2 linked regions of the Oreochromis niloticus genome follow. The protein of the gene in region 2 purifies or fractionates together with the protein of the main gene of each other region. This does not show direct contact. Links are inferred from orthologs where the notes say so. Each region holds a gene or a part of one and is shown on either strand. Other genes may lie near its edges. The genes, in order: kif14 and kifbp.

The links.
Region 1: the proteins of kifbp (region 2) and kif14 purify together in Homo sapiens (affinity purification with mass spectrometry; 3 studies listed by BioGRID and IntAct, counting the BioPlex papers as one, with this or other methods). This does not show direct contact. The link is inferred for Oreochromis niloticus from reciprocal best matches to the Homo sapiens genes KIFBP and KIF14.

What each region holds. Positions count from the first base shown.
Region 1 is NC_031980.2:33,890,028-33,897,840, reverse strand, and holds the start of kif14 (kinesin-like protein KIF14), read right to left. Parts: upstream 3,116-7,813; 5' UTR 2,861-3,115; coding exon 1,860-2,860; intron 1,703-1,859; coding exon 1,448-1,702; intron 1,310-1,447; coding exon 1,222-1,309; intron 1,118-1,221; coding exon 1,019-1,117; intron 896-1,018; coding exon 843-895; intron 745-842; coding exon 714-744; intron 519-713; coding exon 411-518; intron 269-410; coding exon 152-268; intron 1-151. Other genes in the region: putative ATP-dependent RNA helicase DDX59, read right to left, coding at 3,806-4,066, 4,165-4,293, 4,845-4,997, 6,026-6,277, 6,508-6,597, 6,712-6,894, 7,249-7,813. UniProt on the Homo sapiens protein: Microtubule motor protein that binds to microtubules with high affinity through each tubulin heterodimer and has an ATPase activity. Plays a role in many processes like cell division, cytokinesis and also in cell proliferation and apoptosis.
Region 2 is NC_031965.2:25,094,944-25,102,318, reverse strand, and holds the start of kifbp (KIF-binding protein), read left to right. Parts: upstream 1-4,230; 5' UTR 4,231-4,264; coding exon 4,265-4,720; intron 4,721-5,022; coding exon 5,023-5,121; intron 5,122-5,257; coding exon 5,258-5,337; intron 5,338-5,424; coding exon 5,425-5,483; intron 5,484-5,620; coding exon 5,621-5,745; intron 5,746-7,375. UniProt on the Homo sapiens protein: Activator of KIF1B plus-end-directed microtubule motor activity. Required for organization of axonal microtubules, and axonal outgrowth and maintenance during peripheral and central nervous system development.

The sequences.
Region 1 (7,813 bases), on a different chromosome or scaffold from region 2:
TGCAAAGAAACCAGAGCCTTCTGAGACAAGAGACTGTACTCTGATTTGTGAATGATAAAAATTATATACCGTGGTTCACCTAAAAATCTCCAACAAGCAATGATTAACTGCTTAATGACTTAACCACAGATGGTAGTTAACATGTACTCACCCTGAGTCGGTCTCCACTGGTCTGGGCAGAGCGACAGCGTTCGCTGCCTGCCAGATCGATCAAGTTGATCCTGCTGGTGATACTGTGGTCATGTTCCTCTCCTTCCACAAGCTCAGTCTGCACACACAAACACAAATGGATTCACAGGCACTTAATGTAAGCACGATTCATCCACTCCCCCCGTATTAACGTTGTATTCTTTTTACGTAAAAACTCAAAGAGGGAAAAGAGGTGTAAATACACAGTGAAGAGTCCATACCTTAGTCTGGGTCATGACCAAGGTGAAGACAGAGTGAGATCTGGAGCTCTTGTCATTCATTCCTGTGGCCGCCGTGGCTCTCTGCTTATTCCCGAGCTCCAGCCAGCCCTAAAGAAGAAGGAAAAAGTACTTTAAATTATTATTGATTCTCTGTGTGAAATCTCACTTGAAGATATTCATTTCCATGACAACCCTCTTAGATTCGGTTAACAGGCTTTTTGTCTGCTTGACACTAAAGACCTAGCTTGTTCTTGAAAGCACCCACTAACAGGAGAGTATAAAAAGACAACTGGTTCATCTTACCTGAACATCATTGTAAGAGCGCACCACATTCCTGTGAAGAAATAGCAAGCTGAGCAATTCTGAAAAACATACCATGCAAGAATGTTCAAGCTTTCAGCGAATAAAGAGAGAAAGACGGGATTTTCTTACGCTGAGAGCTCAGCGACATAAGGCCCGTGGATCGGATGCTCTCTCACCCTCAGCTGGAAAACAAATCCAAACAAAGGTTTTCTACATTTTTCCCCCGGGGTAAGTCAACCACAGTGGCAAGTTAGAGATAAAAACACGTGCCAGGGATGAGTGTCACTCAACAGCAAACTACTCACGGGCATCCTCCTCTGGTTTGGTTCTTCTCTGGTCACCAGCAGGTCATGGATCTTCTCATTGTACACTTCAAAGTAGCTCATCTCTACATGACATTTGACCTGAGATTCAAAAGGGACCCAAACAGATCATTTAATTATTTTTCAGATAAAAATGAAATTGGAATAGAAATGTAAAAAAAAACAAAAACAAAAAGAGAGCTTACCTCTTCACTTTTTATTGAGGCCAGTTTGGAAAAAAGCTCGTGGCAGAATTTTGGGATCACCCCTACCTCCTCCTCAAAACCCATCATCCTGCAAAACAATCAGTCTTAACACATCAAAGTGACAGATTACAGTACAAAAGTAAAAAAAACAACAACAACAAAAAACAAAAAAAACATGACCACATAAGTGAGAACACTGATGTAAATGAAAAGTGAGTCCACTCACGTGTATGATTTACCAGAACCTGTCTGGCCATAGGCAAACAGGCAGGTGTTAAATCCTTCAAAGGCCCTCAGCAGCAGAGGCTTGGCCAGCGTCTCATACACGGTCTGCTGGCAGGCAAAGTTGGAGTCGCTGGCATCCACTGAGCAGAAAGAGAAGTCGTAGGTGAAGGAGTAGCTCTGCCTGGACTCTGGATGCTGGACAACAGTCTCCTGGCCATTCATGAAGATGACCTGTGAGGACTTCTCAGCTTTCTCCCTGTAATAGAGCAGAACACAAAACTTCAGAAATGTGTTGTTTCTCTTTCTTTAAACAAGTAGCATGCCAGTGTTTTATACACAGATTTTCCAGAACCAGACTTTAATATACTGACACGGGGGCCTGCTTCTCAGTCACCCAGCAGTTAAACACTAACCTGGCACTGAAGGGGCGAACACGCACAGCCACGGTAACAGCACTGTTTTCCATTTTAAGCAAGTCCTGCTGCTTCAGACCCTCACTGGTACTGGGCAGGATCTGTTCAGGAGGAGCAGGATCGGATGTCCTGACCTGGGTCACGTCTCCCTTTTGGTTCGAGGTGTTTGTCTTTATCACCTGCAGCGTCGTGTCAGGTCTTCGCACACCTGAGGTCGTCTTGCTGATCCGAGGAGCCGAGACGGGTTTAGTGTTTTCGGCTTGCTGTGCTCGGGGTTTGGGCCTTTCCAGACTGGCAGATTTGACCAACACTGGCTTGGGAGCTTCTTTTCCTGCCAGTCTCTCAAACACGTCTCGTTTGGCAGCGATTCTCTCAAACGGGGTCTTTCTGGTCGGCGTTTTAAATGTCTGGGTCTCGTCTGTGTTTCTACTTGAAGATGAAGAAGAGGAGGAGGTCTTGTTCTGTGCAAACCTCCCTTGTGTTTGCACATGAGTCGCAGTTTCTCTTAAGCTCGTAGACCTGAATAAACCAGGTGTCCTCCCGTTTGGTTCACTGAGAACTTTGGGAGTTGACTGCAGGCCACCAGGCTGTCCACGTCCGCTCTTGTCCATGGAGGGAGTCCTGGTCCTGCGCTGCAGAGTCAGTCTCTTCTCCGGAGCTGCTGTGGTGCTTTGGCTACTGTCTGTCATCGTTTGTTCCGCCGTTTCGGCCCCGGTCTTCCTCCTTGACCGTCTTTGTAGGGTGAGCCGAGCTCGGTAAGGGGTCTGCTGCCCGCTGCCGCTCTTTGACAGGGCAGAGACGACATACGTCCTGTTCACCGGGCGGCTTTTATCTGATGACCTGCTGTCTTCACATGCAGACTCCCCTGATGCGGTCACACTTTTGCCCAGCGTCGTGTCGGCTATCTTTCGCTCTCGGCCGGGTGTCCTGGACGTTGATGTTGACAGCAGATTGTCGTAATAAGCGGTGTGTTTCCTCGCTTGCACGCTAAATAACGACATGGCTGTGGACTGTTAGAAACCTAAACGGTGTAATTACGAGAGAGGCGAATTAACGGCAGATGCACTTTACACGAACAACTACATTTAAAAACCACGTAAATCGGACGTAAATATGACTCCATATGTTAGTTAAAGGAAAATAAAAATCCATTCGAATAAATTATTACTTGCACTTGCGAAAAAAAAAACTTCTTTTGTTTATGTTCTCCTCCTCGCTTCCGCCTCTACCCGCTTCAATTTCAAATCGTCACCGTCACTGGCAGCTGATTGGCTGGATTCTCTGAAAGTGCTACGTCACGTCATGGTCGCGGCCTGTAGGCACTTTATGATACCGCTAGATGGCAGCACAATACCGAGCCACAATAAATAAACTGTGACCGATAGTCATCTCAGAGATTGCGTACCAGTGGAAAAAATGTGCTAGTCATAAGCTCCCATCTAAATTTAGTCCTTTACCGTTAAAATAAACGAAATGTCTCAAACTCCCTAAATCTACTGAGGAAGGGAGTGAGATATAAATAAAACCTCCAGAGAAACTTTGAGAAAAAATTACCTTCTAGTTGGAATAATAAATGAGAATAAAATCAGACTGATTAAAGTTTGTACAAAAGGCAGGGTGCGTTCAATGCCTTGCTCAAAGGCATCTGGACCTTGGTTCAAGTCTGGATTAATGAGGATTGTTATTCTTCTTTCAGTGCCCCTTTCATGCTCCTCTCACTGTGTGCCACTAGTGCCAGTTCTAAGCCCGGAAAAATGTGGAAGATTGTGTGGAGCATTTCTCTTTTTGATTAAGTCACTTTGCACTAACCATACAAAACACAGATCTAAAAAAACAGATATAGAAAACACATTTCATGTATTTATTTATAAACAAAATATACAAATTAAACATTTACAAGTTACACAATAAATAAGCAACTTTTCATGAAAGACTGGAAGAAGTTGCTACTTCTTGCGACGGTCATGTTTCTTTATGATGTCCAGGAGGTTATTTGTGGTAACCAGTGAATCCTCGTGGTCCTTCTTGTTTCTCTGCTTTTCCCTCCTTTGCTGTTCGTGGAGGTGCGGTGAGTTTAAGAGCTGAGGGGGCAAAATGGAGCCAGTGGGTTTGACTCGATTCACCACCTCCAGGAACAGCCGTTTGTTGTTGTTGTTGAGAAGAGTGATGGCTGTTCCTCTGTGTCCCAGCCGACCTGCTCTGCCCACCTAGATGGGGAAAAAAGGTAATATTAGATTAGCTGTCGTAATTGAAAGGTTTTCCTAATGAAACTACAAAAAAGTGATACTAAGCAGTGCTGACTAACCTGATGGACATACTCATCCATTGTGTTTGGCATATCAAAGTTAACCACCAGTCTGACATTGACCAGGTCCAGCCCTCTGCCCAGAACACCTGTACTGATCACTACCTCAAAGTCACCATCCAGAAGACCCTGAAGAGAAAACCACAATTAGAAGTCTGTATGTACCATATACAGCAGACATTAATAATGAACTGCATTTACTGGCAAGCCTATTTTTATAAGCATGTAGTTCCCATAATTATATTTTACACACAGCAGAGATAACAAACCGAGGTGTCCATAAAATAATTCAGCATATTTATGTCTGATATAATCAGCCAGTAAAATTACATACTCTAAAAGTGGGACTCTGGGATTATAAATCACTTTGACTCCTAATAATTTAGATTTATTCTGGATTGTTTCAGGCCTTGTCTGACTGTATCAATAAATCCACACCTCTTCAGTCACCTGTTAAGAAGGTGTCAGTATTTAAGAACTAAAGCACATAAATGGAAAAACAGTGTTTTTTTCTGCATTGTGTCTCTTTGCATTGGACATGCAGACTAAAGCTGGATTCTTGGGGAAAGCCTCAGCTGTGGGTATCTGTCTGTGCTGTTGAAGATAAACACTTTAGGACACCAAACGTGGAAGCATTGTTTGGTTTTTCTTCCCTGTGCATGTTTTCCCACTGGTCTCACCCGGAGGATGCGGTTGCGCTCCCACTGGCTCTTGTCAGAGTGGATTGCCACGGCAGTGAGGCCCGTCACCTTGGCGACTGCCTCGCAGAGCAGATCAGCGCCGAGTTTACTCTCTACAAACACTACCACTGGAGGCTGGTACAGCTTACCATCCTGAAAAGTGAAAAAATTAAAATAGCAGTAAGATATTTTTTTTTTTTTTTACATTTTACATATTTTCTATATAAAATCTTACCAAAAATGCTATATAACTAATACTTTATGTATACTATGTGCCTGTAGAGGCATCTACACATCTGGATACATTCCAGCCCTCCAACAGGTAGCAGTAACTGTAACTTGACAAGTCAGGAAGAAATGCATACTCCCAATCACACCTTCTTAATTTTACTGTTCTTTGGGAGAACTTATTGTAATCTTGAGTCAACTATTATGCACTATGCTGTAAGAGCTGCTATATATGAAGCAACTGCTTTGATTAGTTTTTGAGTCATGTCCATTCCAGTTTTTCCAGGTTTCCTTGTCGTGTCTCATCCAAATCCCAGTTTTGTAGCTCTGCAGTTCCACAATTCACTCACTGCTCGTGAGACAATAGCTTTACACTATGAGTTACTGAGTTATAAGAAAAGAGTCTTATGTTACTCAAACTACGACCTAAGAGCACTTTTCTCCTTCAAGTTAATTAAAGTCGACCATTTCTGTTTTATATAAACAGTGCAAGCTATTGCTGGGATTCCTGGAGTGGTACCATGGCACTGTGCCCACCCGTTTCCTTCAGATAGAGGCCAGAGTGTCCACAGTGGCTGTCTAAATATGGCAGAAGGGGAGGCTGGTTCTTCATTGGACTTTAAAATATTCCCACCAACAATAGCCAGCTGTTAAAATACCAAGCTGGTACCAGTGCGTGTCAAGACTGAGCAGTAAATAAACTGTAACCTAAAACTGATCTAATGAAAAACTTTGTGTTTTTCTTCTAAAGTACTTTCTTGGAGTGCAAAGTCCAATTAGACCTGGTCTGAATTCAAAAACTAAAAATATCTACTGACCAGTAAAAGAAACCATATGCTGGCAGTGGAAGTGTGTTCAGGAATACTCCACTTACAATGAACCTTGTAAGACTTCATGATTTTTAATCTAAAAACTCAAACTTAAGATTGAAAAACATCTCATCTATGACCTACGTTGAGAATCTCAAATAGCTTCTTCTTCTTGGAAGGTTCCTCTACCCAAAGCAGGATCTGTCGGACGTTGGCGCACGGCTGGTTCTTCTCGCCAATAGTGATACGTACAGGGTCACGGACCAACCGGGCGGCCAGCTCCTCCGTGCCGGTGGGGATGGTGGCCGACGCCAGAAGAGTCTGATGTTCTTCTGGGACTTGCTCAAGAACCTCCAGAACCTGCTGTTGGAAGCCCATCTTCAACATAGTGTCCACCTACAGGATGCAGCACAACTTTCATGTTGCAGGACTCTCAAAACTGATTTGAATGATTTCTACACAATGCATAGATGAATACTTTCAAAAGCTGTCATTATGTTGTCTGTTCTAAAATACAACTTTTACATTACTAATCCTTAAAGCTATATAAATTGAATTGAACTGAATTACTTTGTCTTAAAGTGCAGAGTTTTTGTCAATTGTGAATTTCAGTATGTTTGTCCTACCTCGTCAACCACCACAATCTTCACTTTGTCAAGCTTCAGCTCTTTCTGCTTCAAGATTTCGATGAGCCGCCCAGGAGTAGCGATGACAATCTAAAGGAGATTGAGAAATGAACAAAACCATGGCATGGGAGAAATGTACAGCCTCAAGCTTTGACTGCAGCAGGAGGAAATTATTGTTTAAGAAAAATAAAACAGAGACTGTACTTTGATGCTGCTCTTCAGGCGGTGGAGCTGTGGGGGAAGCGGCATGCCTCCGACCAGCAGGGCAGTTCTCATGTTGGGGAGTCCCATCACAAGTTCCTTGGCCTGTCTCTCTATCTGAATGGCCAACTCCCTGGTGGGGGTCAGGATCAGAGCCACAGGGCTGCCCACACTGTGTGCTGATTTCTGAAAGCAGAAGCAATGTTACAGACTGCATGTCACCAAGAGAGGATTTGTGAATTTTTAAATGTAAAATTGTTTGTGTCTTTTTGAGAATACATTTATTCAATTCGACTCTTTTATCTGCAGAGGTCATTGGCAACTACGGAGCAGCTTTTCTGTCAGATACTGGAGTCTAGTGTCTTGCTAAGGGGTAGCTCAGGAGGGCAAACGCTTGATACAAAAGCAGATTCAGTCCAGATTTACATATTTAGATCTGGGCTGTGGTGCTATTTATCCAGGCTGTAGAAATGTCTGCCTCCTCAAATATAATTTAACTTGATGGCATTTGTATGTGACATATTAGCTTAAATACTGTACCTCGAGTGCCCTCACGACCACTGGCAGCAGAAAGGCTACAGTCTTCCCCGATCCTGTGTCTGCACTGGCAATCACATCCCTGCCTGTGAGACCAACAGGGACCATCTGCATCTGGACTGGGGTAGGTGTGTCATACCCGGCCTTTTTCAGGTTACCACTTAATGTGGCAGGGAAGCTGCAGTGCTCAAATTCAACAACAGGTCTTGCGACATCTCTCCCCTGGGTTTCTATGCCCAGCTCCTGTTTAATTCGTTGCACTTGCTCCTCTGTTAGGCCTGATATGAACCGATCTTCCCTGTAGAAGTAGCCCGGTTCACTTTCAACCACCCTACCAGGGTCAGCTGCTGGCTGTTGACTTTGAACAGTCATTTCATCTCTATTTTGGTCCTTTTGCATAAATGCATCTGCCCCAGTCCCCATGCCCATTTGCACTAAATGGCTGGCTTTGCATTCGAGACTGCAAACATCATTATCTGTAGCATCACAGATGTACTCTCCATAGCGACCACACATCACACAGGCAGGTTCTCCTGGCTCAGGCCATCTCTGGTTCTTTTTAAATGAT
Region 2 (7,375 bases):
ACCCTCTGCAACGCCTTCCGGTCCGAGGCAGAGCAGTTCCCGTACCAGACTGTTATACAGTTGGTCAGGATGCTCTCGATGGTGCAGCGGTAGAAGTTCACCAGGATGTCTGAGGACAGGTGGTTCTTCCTCAGAGTCCTCAAGAAGAAGAGGCGCTGGTGAGCCTTCTTGACCAGCTTGGAGCAGTTGGTCGTCCAGGTGAGATCCTCGGAGATGTGGACTCCCAGGAACTTGAAGCTGCTCACACGCTCCACAGCCGTCCCCTTAATGTGGATGGGTGGATGTGGGTCAGCATTCCTCCTGTAGTCCACGATGAGCTCCTTGGTCTTCTCGGTGTTAAGCAGCAGGTTGTTTGTGTCACACCACTCAGCCAGACGATGCACCTCCTCCCTGTAGGCGGTCTCATCGTTGTCACTGATGAGGCCAATCACCGTGGTGTACATGTCCCATACTTATGTGTTGTACCGAGTGAATCGACTGAAAGGGAACGAATAGTTATGTCTATAACTTCTGTTCCCTGAAGGAGAGGAACGAGGTACAACACAAGGTGGCCCCACTGAGCAGTTTGGCTCGTTGAAGAGCGGCTATCGAACTGAGGGATGACTGTGATGACAGCGGCTATATGTGCAGGCGGGGCCGTGCGCGTGTCATCACACGTCATCTGCCTTAAAGGCGTGAATAAAGGTTTCTTCAGCCAGGACACGCGAGGGCGTGATATCCCATACTTATGTGTTGTACCTCGTTCCTCTCCTTCAGGGAACAGAAGTTATAGACATAACTATTCGATTTTTTTTTTTAATTATTACTAATGATATAACATTGTCCAGACATGGCTGGTAAGGACATGAGGAGGAAACAGTAGGAGCTGTGTGAGGATACTAAAGGCAGTGGATCCCTCAGCAGCTGGATTACAAAGAGCACAGGTAACATTAGCACATGTACCAGTTGTTGGAGAGGTATTCCAGTATAAAAATAATAATAAGCACAACTGGAATGTTTTGCTTTTATAACATTTTTCTGTCATCATTTTAGTATAGATTAAATGCAGCAGTTGTTAGGTGTGGATAATTAAATAATAGTTTATTGCAATAGCAAGTTGTGCCTTGTTCTCAGATAGACAGCAAGTGGAGAGTGATATATGAAATGAGGGGATGGAAAGAAGAAGAGAAGCATAGTGATTCACAGGCAGAGCCTAGTTTATTTCTCACAGTTTTTTGTTGCTTTGTGGTTCCAAGCCCATTTTGTTATGTTCTTTGCATTTAGTTATTATCTCATGACACTTGTTTAATCAGCTACCATCTCTCCTATGAACATTTTAAGGTCTACAGTCTCAGATCAGCACAGCCCTGCCCTCCAGCACTATCAGCAGCAGGAGCCGCAGCAACCCCTCAACAGCAACATTGTACCCATCAGGTAAAACATAGGCTACGTTTGCTTTGCCTTGTTGCCACCTCACAACAGTGATGTAGTATGATGCGATCCCATATTAGATTCTTGATGAATGTGTGTTGTTGTTATTCAGCCTGGTTCAATGTGCCCCTTTTTAACTTTGAGCACCCGCCCCTTTAAACGTCTCTGCACGGCCCTGGTGAAGATCCTTCTAAAACATAATTTATCTTTATGCCTACAGCTATATCATATGCATCACCTCTAGAGAAGTTGTAAATAAGTAGGCATGGTAATGTAATAATGGTAATGATTATATTTGCTATTCATTACACAACTTATACACGGCTACTGACACTACACAAAAACTGACAACTTCACACATATTGACATGAAAAAAATCATATTTATATTAATAAATAAATAATCTGTTTTTTGATCTTTTGTATGTATTGCGCTTGATGTGTGTTATTCTTGTTGCAAAGTTGTTTCACCTCATGTGAATATGCTAGTGTGACAGCAAAATCATTGTTTCTTCAAAAATGATTTAAGTGAAGTGACCTTTTGATTTGACCATAACTGTAATTAAAATCTAAAGCTGCAATGGAACTCCGAAATGTGGGCGAGTAATGCTTTTAATGGAGTAAAACAGGAATAACTAGAAAATTTGCATTTCCTGCGAAAATGCTGTGTGGATGCCTTAACGCTGAAGCTGTCTGCTGAAAAGCTGAAAAAGATGAAAAGTTGCAAAAAGTTGTATGGTGGTGGAAAAAAAACGAAAGTCACCCTGAGCAGGATTTGAACCTGGCCCTCCTAGTCTAAAGGCAGCTACTCATCTCACTGAACCAAACTCATTCACATGAAGAAGAGGTGGAGAGACTGACAATTGTGCTGAAATTAGCAGAAGCTGCTGAGAATTGTACTGATGAGAGGTGAAAAGGCTGAAAATTTTGCAGAAAAGAGCAGAGTTTCTGCTAAAAAGAGTTTTTTTTCTGAAAACAGCCAAAAAAGGTAGAATTTGTGCTGAAAAGGCGTGAAAAAAATGAAAATTTTGCTGAAAAGGGGTGAAGAAGCTAAAGTATACCAAATCAAAGTATTTGTGCCAAAACATAGTATTTCTGCCATATTGTGGTGTTTGTGCCACAAAAGTTACTACATTACAACATGAATACGGATTAAAGATGAAAGAAACTGGCAACAAATTCCTCCACTACAAACCAGTCTGATACCACTTCTTTGCAGTGTTCACGTTTACTAAGGCACTACCCAAGAGGCGCCACAAAAGGGCACTCCAACACAACAGATGACCTATGTACACTGATGCACTTAGTAACAGTCAGCCTCCTTGAATTGGCAGAAATACTGTGATTTAGTAGTAATACTATAACATAACAGATATACTGTGATGTTGCAGACATAGTATGTTTTTGCACTACTCATTTGTAGTGAAAAAAAAAGGTTGACCAAGGTGGGATTGAACCCACGACCTTTGAGCTGCAGAGCCGTGTCATTACTGATTGCGCCACCTGGGAAGGGGGCGGGCGGCTGAAAAACAAAGACATCAGCAATCAGAAATAGATCGCGGTGAGAGGCGAAAAGCGCCGTTTTTTGGAGTTACAAAACGTCATGTAACTTGTACTGGGTGAATCAGCGCACTTTGGCGTACTTTGACTGCGATTTTCATTGCTCTTTGTCCCTCCGTCGCGGAGATATGACGAGAGAAGAAACGGCTTCATTTTCAGAGTGTGAAAACTGAGAGGAGGACAGATTTCCACCCCTCAAACAAACGTAATTTATGGCTCAACGGTAAGATAATTGTAAAAACTGCTTCCACTGTGAGTGTCAGCAGTGTCTGAAGATATATTGGCACAAGCCTCATGTCCTAACTTTGTTTTGTTTAAGAGATATGACGATTTGAAAATGCCTCCCGTTACAGAATTTCAGCTCTGAATTTCAAAACCTCCCCATAGACTTTGAATGGGGAGTAACCAGACCATGTGTCACTTCGAGGCAAATTGCGAAAAAACGGTAAATCTCACAATAAAGATAGTGACATTGTCTGAAAGCCAGCAAAAATACCTACGTTTTGATGTATAATTTGTGGGGGTTGAGTGGAAATTGAGTGAGAAGCAAGAAGTTGTTCAGACATGAAGAGAAAATTCAGAACAGACCAGCGCTCACTCTGAGTTAATTGTAGAGCTGGGCGATATAAGATTTTTTCATATCACGATATGTTTTTTTCATTTCTGGCGATAACGATATATATCACGATATAAGCCAAATAACTATATTTGTAAGATTTAAATGTGCCGTTGCTCACAAGTAAAATGTGAAATAATCAGCAGCTTGTTTTGATTTAAATATTTATTTCCCATAATAAGTTCAACAGGGTAGATGTACTTAAGGAACATAAGACTTCAGTTTCAGATAAATAAAGGCAAATATTGCAGTGTACATACCTTAATAAAAACAAGCAGGTGAGATGTTAGAACGCTTTTATTTCTATTCTAGTGGACACTCAATACTATAGACAGCTGCTGGGGTTTCTTTAACCTGAGTAGTGAGAAGTCCGCGAGCGGGTGGGGGGGGGGGTTGAAAACGATGTGCCGGGAGTCCGCTGTTGAGTTTTGGACGAAATGCATTCTGGGATATTTAGCTGTCCCAAGTCCACACCGATGCATGCTCGATAAAACGGGCGGATCGAGAACACATCCGGGACTTTTTGCGTACTTCGAATTGGAATAGTACTTGGTCTCCGACTGATGACGTATCACGAGTACACGAGAACGCAAGTACGCACAAGTACGCACAAGTACGCATATTGATAAACGCCCAACAAGAAGCACGCAGCTGCGTCAGAACGCCTGAGAGGACCAACATGGCGTCCTTCAACAGCAACGAATGGAGAGCTATCTGCGACAAATTCACGAACGCCCAAAATCTCACAGAAATAGAATCACGAAACGATAAAGAAAATGACCCCTTCCGCTCTAAGTACAAAGCCAGGGAGCTTCTCAGAGAGATATACTGCTCGCTGAAGAATTTTGAAGCCGGCGAAGGTGAAGAGGAGGGCGGCGGAGAGAGCGGCGAACAACGGCCGACAGAGCAGCCGGTGGACGGGCAGAGAGAGGACCTGTTCGGCCAGGGCTTCAGCGGTGATTCACCAGCCGGGTTGCGGGCCGCAAGACTCGGAGCTGTGGAGTACTACCTGGGCGTCAACCATGTGGACACGGAGGAGCTTTCAGCCGGGCAGGAGCACCTAATGAACTGCATGAAGCTGCTGGAGAGATGCAGAGTGTCGTCCCCGAATGTGTCCCTGTTTATCCAAGTTAGGGTAACGTTGATCGTTTCTTTCTTACAATAATACAAAGCTGCTATTTAAAACAAACAAATAAATAAATAAAAATTACACTACATACAGAAGTTATGTTATGATCACTGATAAGAATATGTATTAAACGTGTGACATGTGATTATAATGCTAAGGATGATTTTTGAAAACACTCCATCAGAGTGTTTGTGAAGCGTTATAAATAAAGCACTGCTACATGTTTTTAAGAGTCACACTGCTATAGTAGTACCATCAGATGATGCATGATCATTTGATGCTCATGTGTTGTCTCCTTGTGTTTTCAGAACCAGCTAGGTATCCTCTGGGCAGGCCGGGATGAGACAGAGACTGCACAGGGCTTCCTCGAAACTGCAGAATCCATCTATCAACGTTACATGAAGGAGGCAAGGCTGATTTCCTGAATAAAAGTTTATTTTTAAAAAATGAGGATTGATTGAAATATTAGTTTTCAGGAAGGTAATGCTGCCCCCACAGTATGGCTGCAATCACAATAGGTAAATCCTCTTCTTCTTTTTTCAGGACGGCAGTCCTCCCACTGATATGACAGAGTACTTTGCTGCTGAGGAGAACCTGCTGACTCACCAGGAAAGGATTAAGAGGTAACTTCCACAGCAAATTTCCAGGATTTTGCTATTTCCTTGCTTTTATTTAGTCCCTTTGTCTCTCTCTGCTTTCCTTGTGTATAGGTTTGAGTTGGCCTACACCCATACCATGTACTACCTTGCTCAAGTTTATAAAAACCTGGGTGAGTATGAGATCATTTAAGGATAATACCCACCAAAAAAAATTACACTGATGAAACAACAAGAAATTGCATCTGACCCCTATTTAGCTATTTAAATTACTTGTAATAACTATAATAACTATAGTTTTGTCTCTCAGGTCAAACTGAGCGTGCCGCTACCTACTGCCACACAACCCTGCAGAGACAGCTACAGTTAAATCAGTTTACTCCAATGGAGTGGGCTCTAAATGCTGCTACACTATCCCAGTATTACATCACTAAGGTAAGCATATAGCCAGCTTAAAGTCATTTATAGACATTTGATCTGCAACCTAAGATATTCTGCATGTTATATAAAATGCTTTTTCTTTTAAAAGTGCTGCATGCAGTATTCACAACCACTAGATGTCACATAGGAGTTGCTCAGAATGTGACAGATGATGGTAGCAAGAGTAAAAAGGGAGGTTTAACAAGATGGGAGTGAGACCTGCTGTGTTTGGAGCTGATGGCAGTGCCGAGCGGAAGATGCTCAGATTTTCATCAGTAGTATGAACGTGATTAGAAATGAATATAATACAGGTTTGAGTTAGAGAGGCAAGGCTGAGATGCTTTGGACACATGCAGGACATGTTAATTCATTGATTTATATATCGTGTCGATGAAAATCTCATTTTTTAGCGTCCTGGTCTGGACTCTGCCATCTTGTTTATAAAGTGCAGGGTGGGAAGTCACGAGTTGTGTGGAAAGCTAACAGGAACTTGCATACTATAGCGTACACACACAGCCAGATCAGAAGCTTGTAGTAAGAAGAAAGACTGTGTCTTATCCAGGTCATTTCAGCACTAACCCTGAGTTTTCTGCACTACAAAGCTGGTTCACTTCTTACCGGGGTAACTTGCCATGGTAGCTTATACTGTAACCTCGTCTGGAGCAGGCTAAATTCCAGATTAGAGATCAACAGCTCTAAAATCACCGCCTACTGATCAGTCAGTTCTCCAGAACATAGCGTCACCATTCCTAAAATTCCTTGGATCTCTGCAGGGAGAGTAGGTTTGGTCTAAAGTTTTTCATCACCATCTAAAGTCATTGTGTTTCTGATTGAGGAATAAATATAGATTCTTACATGCAGATTTACTGTATGTATTATTTTCTGTTGACAGGGAACAATTTTAAAACTCTTGCATTGTTGTGTAGGCATTACTGTCTGATCCTAAAGCAGGACCCCTACAATGCCCTTGGTGACATCATATCAAGTCTATGTTTGATTTCTGTTTTTATATTTAATCTTTACTCTCAAACCCTTAAACAGTACTGAGTCTGCAGCTGAGAGAATAATGTCCAGTTTAAGCCATCCCTTACTAGAACCACTGAAAGAAGTTCAAACTCAGTCTGGCATTGTCACAGGAATATGCACATGTTAATATGATAATTTATAAAATGTGTAAATGTTGTTATACTTGATTCTAATCTGCTGCTAAGTCTCTTTTACACGGACTGAATTGCAGCTATTAGAACACAGAACACACATGAAGAGTACCTATTTGATCTGCCAAAAAAACTAAGCACATTTGCTTAATTAAGCTATAGGTCAGTAAACTTTAAACTGGCTCTGTTTAAACAGTAAAGTTTCAGAGCTATAATGTGCAGCTGTCACCTAAGAAATAAACGCAGCACCATGAATCCACTCGACAACTAAAAAACTTGAACCAAAATGATTATTTTACTGCTCTGTGCACTAACGATTAACCGTTAACAAATTGCTGCAACATTCATCTTTTGTTGTTTCTGCAAAAGTGTTGGATTTTACTGGCACAGTTTTTAGATTTTATTTGTTCTTTATAGCTTCTTAATCACCATTTGATAACATCTCCGGAGTAAGCGGCAGTCATAGGGACTTTTGTGGAAAAAAAGTC